Danio rerio: one gene and its partner. The protein of the gene in region 1 interacts with the protein of each later gene in a pairwise test. Links are inferred from orthologs where the notes say so. Each region holds a gene or a part of one and is shown on either strand. Other genes may lie near its edges. The genes, in order: tufm and fundc1.

The links.
Region 2: the proteins of tufm (region 1) and fundc1 interact in binary tests that used the Homo sapiens proteins (3 or more experiments, as listed by UniProt). The two-hybrid records come from large-scale screens. The link is inferred for Danio rerio from reciprocal best matches to the Homo sapiens genes TUFM and FUNDC1.

What each region holds. Positions count from the first base shown.
Region 1 is NC_133178.1:12,129,028-12,133,588, reverse strand, and holds the start of tufm (elongation factor Tu, mitochondrial), read left to right. Parts: upstream 1-1,738; 5' UTR 1,739-1,759; coding exon 1,760-1,796; intron 1,797-2,369; coding exon 2,370-2,416; intron 2,417-3,825; coding exon 3,826-3,964; intron 3,965-4,561. UniProt on the Homo sapiens protein: GTP hydrolase that promotes the GTP-dependent binding of aminoacyl-tRNA to the A-site of ribosomes during protein biosynthesis. Also plays a role in the regulation of autophagy and innate immunity.
Region 2 is NC_133184.1:35,473,409-35,477,150, reverse strand, and holds fundc1 (FUN14 domain-containing protein 1), read left to right. Parts: upstream 1-1,382; 5' UTR 1,383-1,422; coding exon 1,423-1,441; intron 1,442-1,867; coding exon 1,868-2,024; intron 2,025-2,111; coding exon 2,112-2,187; intron 2,188-2,279; coding exon 2,280-2,408; intron 2,409-2,497; coding exon 2,498-2,575; 3' UTR 2,576-3,024; downstream 3,025-3,742. UniProt on the Homo sapiens protein: Integral mitochondrial outer-membrane protein that mediates the formation of mitochondria-associated endoplasmic reticulum membranes (MAMs).

The DNA of each region.
Region 1 (4,561 bases):
CCTAACATATAATATTACAATAAAAAAGTAGAGTTAAGAAAAATTTTAATTTACAATGTATACAATTGTGCATAAAATGTGGTCTAAAATTTTTCAAATATATACACATCACATTAAGGTATCTTACTTTGATTTCACTATCAGATGTCATTACAGATCATTTTATTGGCATATTAACTTATTTTTATTACCCAACTCACACATCCAATACATGAAAACGCAAAGAAACTGAAGCACGCGCTAACTTACTTCATGTACAAAATGTAAACACGAGTTAGACAAACAAGACTTACCTTTTTAAATGCTGTGTGTCCGATTTAGCAGTAGTAGCAGACGTTACTTGGACGTGTGTCAAGTTTCCCCGCAGTGTAAATAATGTTACACTTGAGTTCAGTTCAGCTCCGTTATTATAAACACACCACTGCGGATCCAGAAGCTTCCAGATTCTACCTGCTGCTAGACAGCGGCGCGCGTGCACATGCCGTCGATGTGATATGACGTCATGAATTTTACCGTAATGATTATATGCCATCCTCGCAAAGAAACTTGCACTCGGAGGAAACCCACACGAACATCGAGAGAACATGCAAACTCGACACAGAAATGCCAAGCCGAGGCTTGAACCACCGACCTTCTTGCTGTAAGGCGATCATGCTACCCATTTCGCCATTGCTTTGGAACTTTTGTTTTTGATGCCTGTTTTTCATGTAATTGTAATTTACCAATGCACAATGAAAACATTAATAAATGCCCTCCTTGCATAGTTCTTTCACAACCTCTTATTAAGGTTTATAGTGTATAAAATAAACATTTTATAAGGATTTAATATACACAGAACCCATATTTAAAAGTAATTTACAGTTTTTTTGAACATTTATTGTATAACACAAAGTTACATTTGGTACATATCATTTACAATACTTTAATAATTAGATCATTAGCTCTGTTACCTGAGAGCCGCTGCTCCTCCACATCGAGAGAAGTCAGCTGAGGTGGCTTGTGCATCTGTTTAGGATGCCTCCTTGAAGCCTTCCTGGAGGCGTTCCAGGCATGTCCCACCAGGAGGAGGCCTCAGGGAAGACCCAGGACACACTGGAAGGACTATATGGCTGGCCTGGGAACGCCTCGGGATCCCCCTGGAGGAGCAGGAGGAAGTGTCTGGGGAGAGGAAAGTCTGGGGTTCTCTCCTGAGACTGTTCCTGCGATCTGGCCCCGGAAAATCGGTTGAAAATAAATGAATGAATGAATTACTAGATTATTTATAATGGTGCCAATAAAGAATGAAAAAGAAGAAAAAATATGAGGAAAAAACACAACAGAAATAAAACAGAACACAAAAAATTTAATAGGCTATTTAATCTGAGGATAGTTATTTAATACATAAAGAAATTGAGCAAAATAAGAAGATAATGTTATATTTTCAGAAATTTAGAGATTTAATAGAGTATACATATTAAAGGTCATGAAAATAGTACCTGTATATGTTTTGAGTGCTTTCTTATTAGGTGTACCTAGTACACTCATCTCTTGTACAAATGTTGGCTTGTGATTTACATTTATGAATTTAAAATCTGTATAAAAATGACAAGGCTTCTTATAAAGCATACATAAAAAAATGTATATAACAAATAATTACATTTGGAGTAGTAACGTACAATTTAGATGATTTACTGTAAGATTAAAAAACGTGTCCAGTGCGTCCAGTGTTGATGGCGTATGTGTATTTCTCCGCGCATGCGCACTTGTCACAGTCCGCAAAATGGCTGCGCTCGTTAGCGTCCGCGCGTGCCTCTCCGGTAAGTTATAAAATTCGCTTATTTTACCTTTCTCGTGCCACTGACACTATGTTCATGCAGCGAATAATCTGCGAAATATGTGTAATATTTGTGCAAATGCCGATGAGAGTGTGGAAATGGCAGTTACTGTGAAAACATGAAGGATGCTCGTGTGTTTCCCCAAGCAAGGTCACGTTCCTCAGGCTGTGACTTATATATATCGTACAGATTGAGTGGCATTATTGACATTAAAGCGTAAGATCTATCACAATATTTATATGATAGTTAAATATTTGTATTGTGTGAAGATCATACTTACGGGAAACAGATGAGGAGTGATTCGGTCTCGTGATGTTTTTGACAGTTGTTCATAATATAGCGACTTTGACGCTTGTAATATTTTAAGTTGTCCTCTGTTTATTAATGTGATGATAACATATTTTTAAGCAGATTTAATAGTCTATGTATTCCATTGTTTGCATTAGCACAGTATATTTATATATTATACAGTATATTTCCTGACTCGTGTTTATGAATGAATGAATGAATGATGATTTCTGTATTACATTTAAGCTTTTTTTGTTTGTTTTCCAGCTCTTCAGTTGACCTCTCCAAGTTTACTTCACAGCTCGTTTAAGCTGGTATGAGTTTCAGTTTTTTAAGTTTTTTTTTTTTGTTTTTATTAGTATGTTATTAAATGCATTATTATCTGTCATGGATTAGCAATTATTATTTGTTAATATCGAAGGAAAAGAAGATAAGTTAGATATTGTAAACTCCGAAATAATTGTGCAAAATATTTGTGACAAATTAGCCATACTTTGTTTTTGTTTTTTAACAGCCAAGTCCACAATGGAAGTCCAGGGCTTTATACCTTTTTATCCTCCATGGTTTTATTTCAAAATGTATGGGATTCTTTTTCTTTTGTTTAAAATCTGTCAAATAAAATTCAACTTAAATGCTTTATATACTTAAACTTGACGTTTGTCCAAATTCAATCTTTATCGGTTGGGTTAAAGTGGGTCAAAGGAATCTTGTCAGGCAAATTATGCAACAAGAATCATTTGATAACACATTTAAAGACTGTTTATCACAATGCAGCCTTAAAATACTCATTAATTGTCATTTTAAATCTATTTATATTTTGCTACTATTTTTCCAAGCACTTGATTTTAACCTATTTGTTAGCAACAAGTGTTTTAATCATCTAATATTAAAATATACTATATAATATAATGTTTTGATTACTTACTCTTTTATATATGGTTAGTATTTTGTGTGAATATTTATAGAATACTGAATGGAAATTGGAAATTGTTTCACTCATATCTGAATTTTTTAAAAATCTAAATGTAAAAACAAAATAAAAAGTTTTCTTTATAGAAAGGATAAAAAAAAGTCTTTAAAAGCCTTGAATTTAGATTTGAGAAGATATTTAAAAAATATTTTGGCTAAAACTATTTCTTCAGCCTGACAGACCCAAAAACTATTTACAATTACTATTATTATTATTATTATTATTATTATTATTATTATTATTAGACAGAACAACATTTTTTTAGTTAAGCCATCTAGTCAAATTGCAAGTAAAAATTAAAATGTGTGTCTGACATAAACATCATGTTCCTACAAAAATCAATAACACAACTAACAGAAGCAAAACAATGCAAAGTGTTTTTTTTTTTTATCATTTATGAATCCGTGGACCTATTTTAAATCCTCATATGAGCATGATCATTAATAAATAAATAAATACAAATTTATTCTTGCATACATTCATATTTCATACTCAGGAAGGTTTCAATCCAAAGTTTAGTCCCTGGTCAGTATTTATTTTTTTAAATCCTTAGCGTTTAGCCCTGATATGCATGAGTATTTTCATTGCAAATCTGATGATCTTAAATGTCTTATAAGTCAGTCTTAGAAAGGCCTTTAAAAATGTTTTCAATTTAACTTGTTAAACTCTGTAGGCACCCTGTGACATTTCCACTGGAGATATTTGAAAAAATAGCCTCATGTTTATTTATTTATTTAATTTTTTTGACCCTAGTGTGCAGTTCCTCTAAGTCGAAGGAATTTCGCTGCAGAAGCGAAGAAGGTTTTTGCTCGTGATAAACCCCATTTGAACATCGGCACTATTGGACATGTTGACCACGGCAAAACCACACTGACCGCCGCCATCACCAAAGGTACACTTTCAGCTTTATTTCATATAAGGGATGCTCCAATTGATTGTTCAGAGATTGGTATCGGCCGATAATTACATTTTATGACTCGATCGGTACTCTCCGATCTCATGAATCGATCACAGTTGTTGTTTACGGGTTTACACGTAGAGGAAGTGACACCCATGCATTGTATAAACTACCCCGAAAACCATGGAGACGAGTGTGTATTAGCAAGAGAACAGATCACAAGAGGCTCTGTGTGTTTTTAACATTATTGCAAGTTCACTAAAACCTGATTGAAAAAAATACATATAATAAATATACACATTTTTTTTACTTGAGTATTTAATAATATACCTTTTTGTATTGTACTAATTGCAATAAACAAATATGTATTTATAGGTGTGCATTTTAACATCTTATGCATCAAATATGCGCGCCAAATTTTTTCTTCATTGAGACATGTTGAATTACTTTCCCCTCATTTGTGATGTTTCTAAATGGCTTTGTTAGTCATTTTTCCCACCGCTTTTTTTTATTTTTATTTTTTATCGGTTTTATCTATTATTGTCTGTAAAGCTGTTTCTGACCATGACATGACCACAGTAAATTGTTATA
Region 2 (3,742 bases), on another chromosome or scaffold:
GACCCCAGATTAATAAAGGGACTAAGCCAAAAAAAATAAATAAATGAATTATTCGGATGTCATGTTTAAATTGTATATTTGCTGTTGTTTAATAAAAAAAATAATAATAATAAAAAATAAATAAAATCATAGAATTTATGGCTTCATAATCTAAAGAAACTACTAAAAATATATTCATTCATTTTCTTTTCGTCTTAGTCAGAATATATATATATATATATATATATATATATATATATATATATATATATATATATATAATTATTATTATTAACATTTTTTTTTATATTCCATGGCTGTTAAGTTTATTTTGACCCTGCCTCTTTCTTTGATTTTTCAAAGTACAGCACATGGATCCAAATTCTTTAAGAACATACATTTACCCAGTGAATTTATTATTTATTTATTTAACCCTTTCATGCGCTACATGGGTCTAAAGTGACCCGTCTAAGTTTATTTTTTTACATTTTTCTATATCTATTTTATAGCTTGTGCATCAAAGGGTCAATAATACTTTATTGTACTGTACTGCATATGATGGTGTACTGTATTTATCCTTGTCTGTATTGCTGTAATGTTTCTCATAATAAAAATACTGTCTTTTTTAACTTCTTTCACTCTTTCTTCAACATCCCAAAAGTTGTATAGAATATGAAATATCTGTAAAAATATTAAAATTATTATTTGATGGTTGTTGTTATCAATGTTTTAATTATGTATACAACTATTATTAGTGTTTTAAATGTTTGAAAGCAGTAAATGTAAAAACTCTGTACACTTAAATTCTGCACAAAACGCACAAGAGTAACGTTAAAGAGAGAACGTTTTGTTAATTAATAATAAAAATACTCTCCATCCTATCTTCTATCATCCATTTTTGCTGTCATTGTTTTCTTTCTTTCTTTCTTTCTTTCTTTCTTTCTTTCTTTCTTTCAACACCCTGAAAGTTGTATAGGCTAGAATATGAAATATTTAGAAAATTATAAAAATTATTATTTAATGCTATTATTTATATTTTAATTATGTAAACAACTGTTATAGTGTTTAAAATGTTTGAAAGCAGTAAATGTAAAAACGCTGTGTTAAAATTATGGACAAAAAAAAACACAAAAGTAAAAAGACAGAGAGTTCTGTTATTTAAATATGCTAGGCGTCTTTGAGCTTTGAAAATCTTACAGACCTGAGCTTCCCCTTAGTAGTGGAGTATACACAGAAACATGTAAAATGCTTTCTGGTTCTGATGGTAGACAGTATTTTATATACTGAGATTGCACCATTACACTCTACGGACTTTGTGAAGTATTTAGTGAATACCACATATACGCAAATTTGGAATCGAAGAGTGATTATCGCACGCAAACTGCGCAGCATTTTACGTAAGAGCTTCCGCGGTTGCGAGCGTCGTGAACGCAGCCTCATAAAATGGCGGATCGCGGCGAAGGTAAATAAATTGGCTAACCAAACATTTGAATGAATAGTCTCGATTGGCAGCGTGTTTGTTTCACCGGATTTATCGCGTGCAACAAGATTCCGAGTGTTTACACCGTAGAAGAGCAGCATAGGTTTCGTTTATTTTGCCAGCAGCCGTTCAGTCTATACAGATACAACGCAGCTAAATTCAACCATACTGTTTTCATTCTCATTCGTCTTTCCATTCGCGTGCTGGTAAATTCATTGACACTTATTAATGCAAACAAATTAGTGTAATCACATCGTATTAATTTGAAATGTCAAAGGACGTGAACCTTAATGGTTGAAAATTCGTATATTCAGTGTTTACAAAGCTGGATCATGTTTGTCATCAGAGAACAAACATAGAATTACAGTATTCGTTTGTAACGACTGTGGTTAATGTTTTCACTTGTAGATGCAGAGAGTGAAGATGAATTGTATGAAGTGGTCAACATCACAGATTATGCCAGGAGGCATCAATGGTGGAGTCGAGTATTTGGTAACAGCACAGGTCCCATTGCAGAAAAATACTCTGTGGCTTCACAAATCATGATGGGTGGAGTGTCCGGATGGTTAGTGTTCATGTGAATGCTTTAATTTCTAATAAAACCCTTAATATTCCTGATTGTTATAAATAATAAAAAAATGTCCTTCTCTAGGTGTGCTGGATATCTCTTTCAGAGAGTTGGAAAGCTTGTGGCTACTGCTGTTGGAGGAGGATTTCTTTTGTTACAAGTATGAGTTCTTAAAATTAAGTTATGCTTTTAATTAGTATATGTTATGCTCAATGACATTTAATTTGTTAATCATCTATTTTCTTATTTCAGATTGCCAATCATAGTGGCTATGTGCAGGTGGACTGGAGGAAAGTGGAAAAGGATGTCAATAAAGCTAAAAAGCATTTGAAGAAAAATGCCAAAAAAGCTGCTCCTGAGCTCAATACCTTTATAGAAGATGTGGGTATACTTTCATATGCTTGTCATAATTTCATATACTATCTATTAGCTGTTATGACACTTCGCTTAACCTACATTTTGTTCTACAGTCTACAGAGTTTGTGAAGAGGAATATTGTTATCTCAGGAGGATTTGTTGGAGGATTTCTGCTAGGCCTGGCATCCTAAATGAAACCTGGATGTACTGTATTGCCTCTGATATGAGTACAGTAATATTGTCCCTTATCTTGGTATCACAGTGATACAGCACTGAAACATGTTGTTTGTTCAGAAGCAGTGAGTGCAATGGACATTTGCTGGACTTTTTTAATATGTTCCTCTACAATGTTATACAATAGCTAAAACATCCTGCAGGAGAGAGATATATTGTGCCAATAACTTTATAGAAAATTGTGGCTTTTATTTTGTTCATTTTATTTTAATTAGTGATAATGCATTCATTTGTTACATGTACAACTACTGAAGTGTTTCATATTGTATTTTGCTTTTGACGGTACATTATTTGAGGTAGATGTATCATTTCCCTAATATATTGTCAAAATGCATGAATTGTTTTGACGTAAAGATAAAAATAATGTTGTGGAAATAATAAAAAGTCTTTCTGGTTATGTATAGACTATTTGTACTTTTTGGTTTGTTTGTTTGTTCCTAAGTTCTAAAGTCGGCATTAAATCAGAATTAGCTTTTCTAGTTTTATATTTTTATAGTGCTTGTTATTAATGTGCACTTCATTATTTTGTAAAAAATAATTTGCCCTTATTATGTTTTATCCAACACTATAACCTTCTCTGCCCCCTCGAAATGACTTTTCTTTACTTTTGGTCATATGGATTGCCTTTAGGGCGGGACTATCAGGGCGTGTCTCATTTCTGTTCTATTTTGGGCAAAGTAGATGGGTTACAGCTGCGGGTATGCACATCAATATAGCATCATTTTTGTAAAACTTTATAACAGTAATTAATAGTAGACATTAATAAAATACCCTGTACAACTACTGTTTTCATGTTACTGTGACAGTAGGGGTAGATGTTAATGAAAAACAATAAATGGGAAATTTAATACATAATATAAATAATTCTTGTTTACTTCCGGCCACAACCGTATGTGATCTAGCAATAACCCTACTTTTGTCTACTTATCAGTCTTCCATCATTTTGTTAGCGATGCCTATCCTCCAATGATCCAATCAGTTCCTGAAGGTTTTTTTCTCATTTCAGAATCGTTTCAATTTGATATGAAAAACAGGACAATCTTAACATCTGTTTTATGGTGAATTTAAATGACAATATATTGTGTTTGGATGAATCTGAGTGTTTTACAGTGTTGCAAAAAACA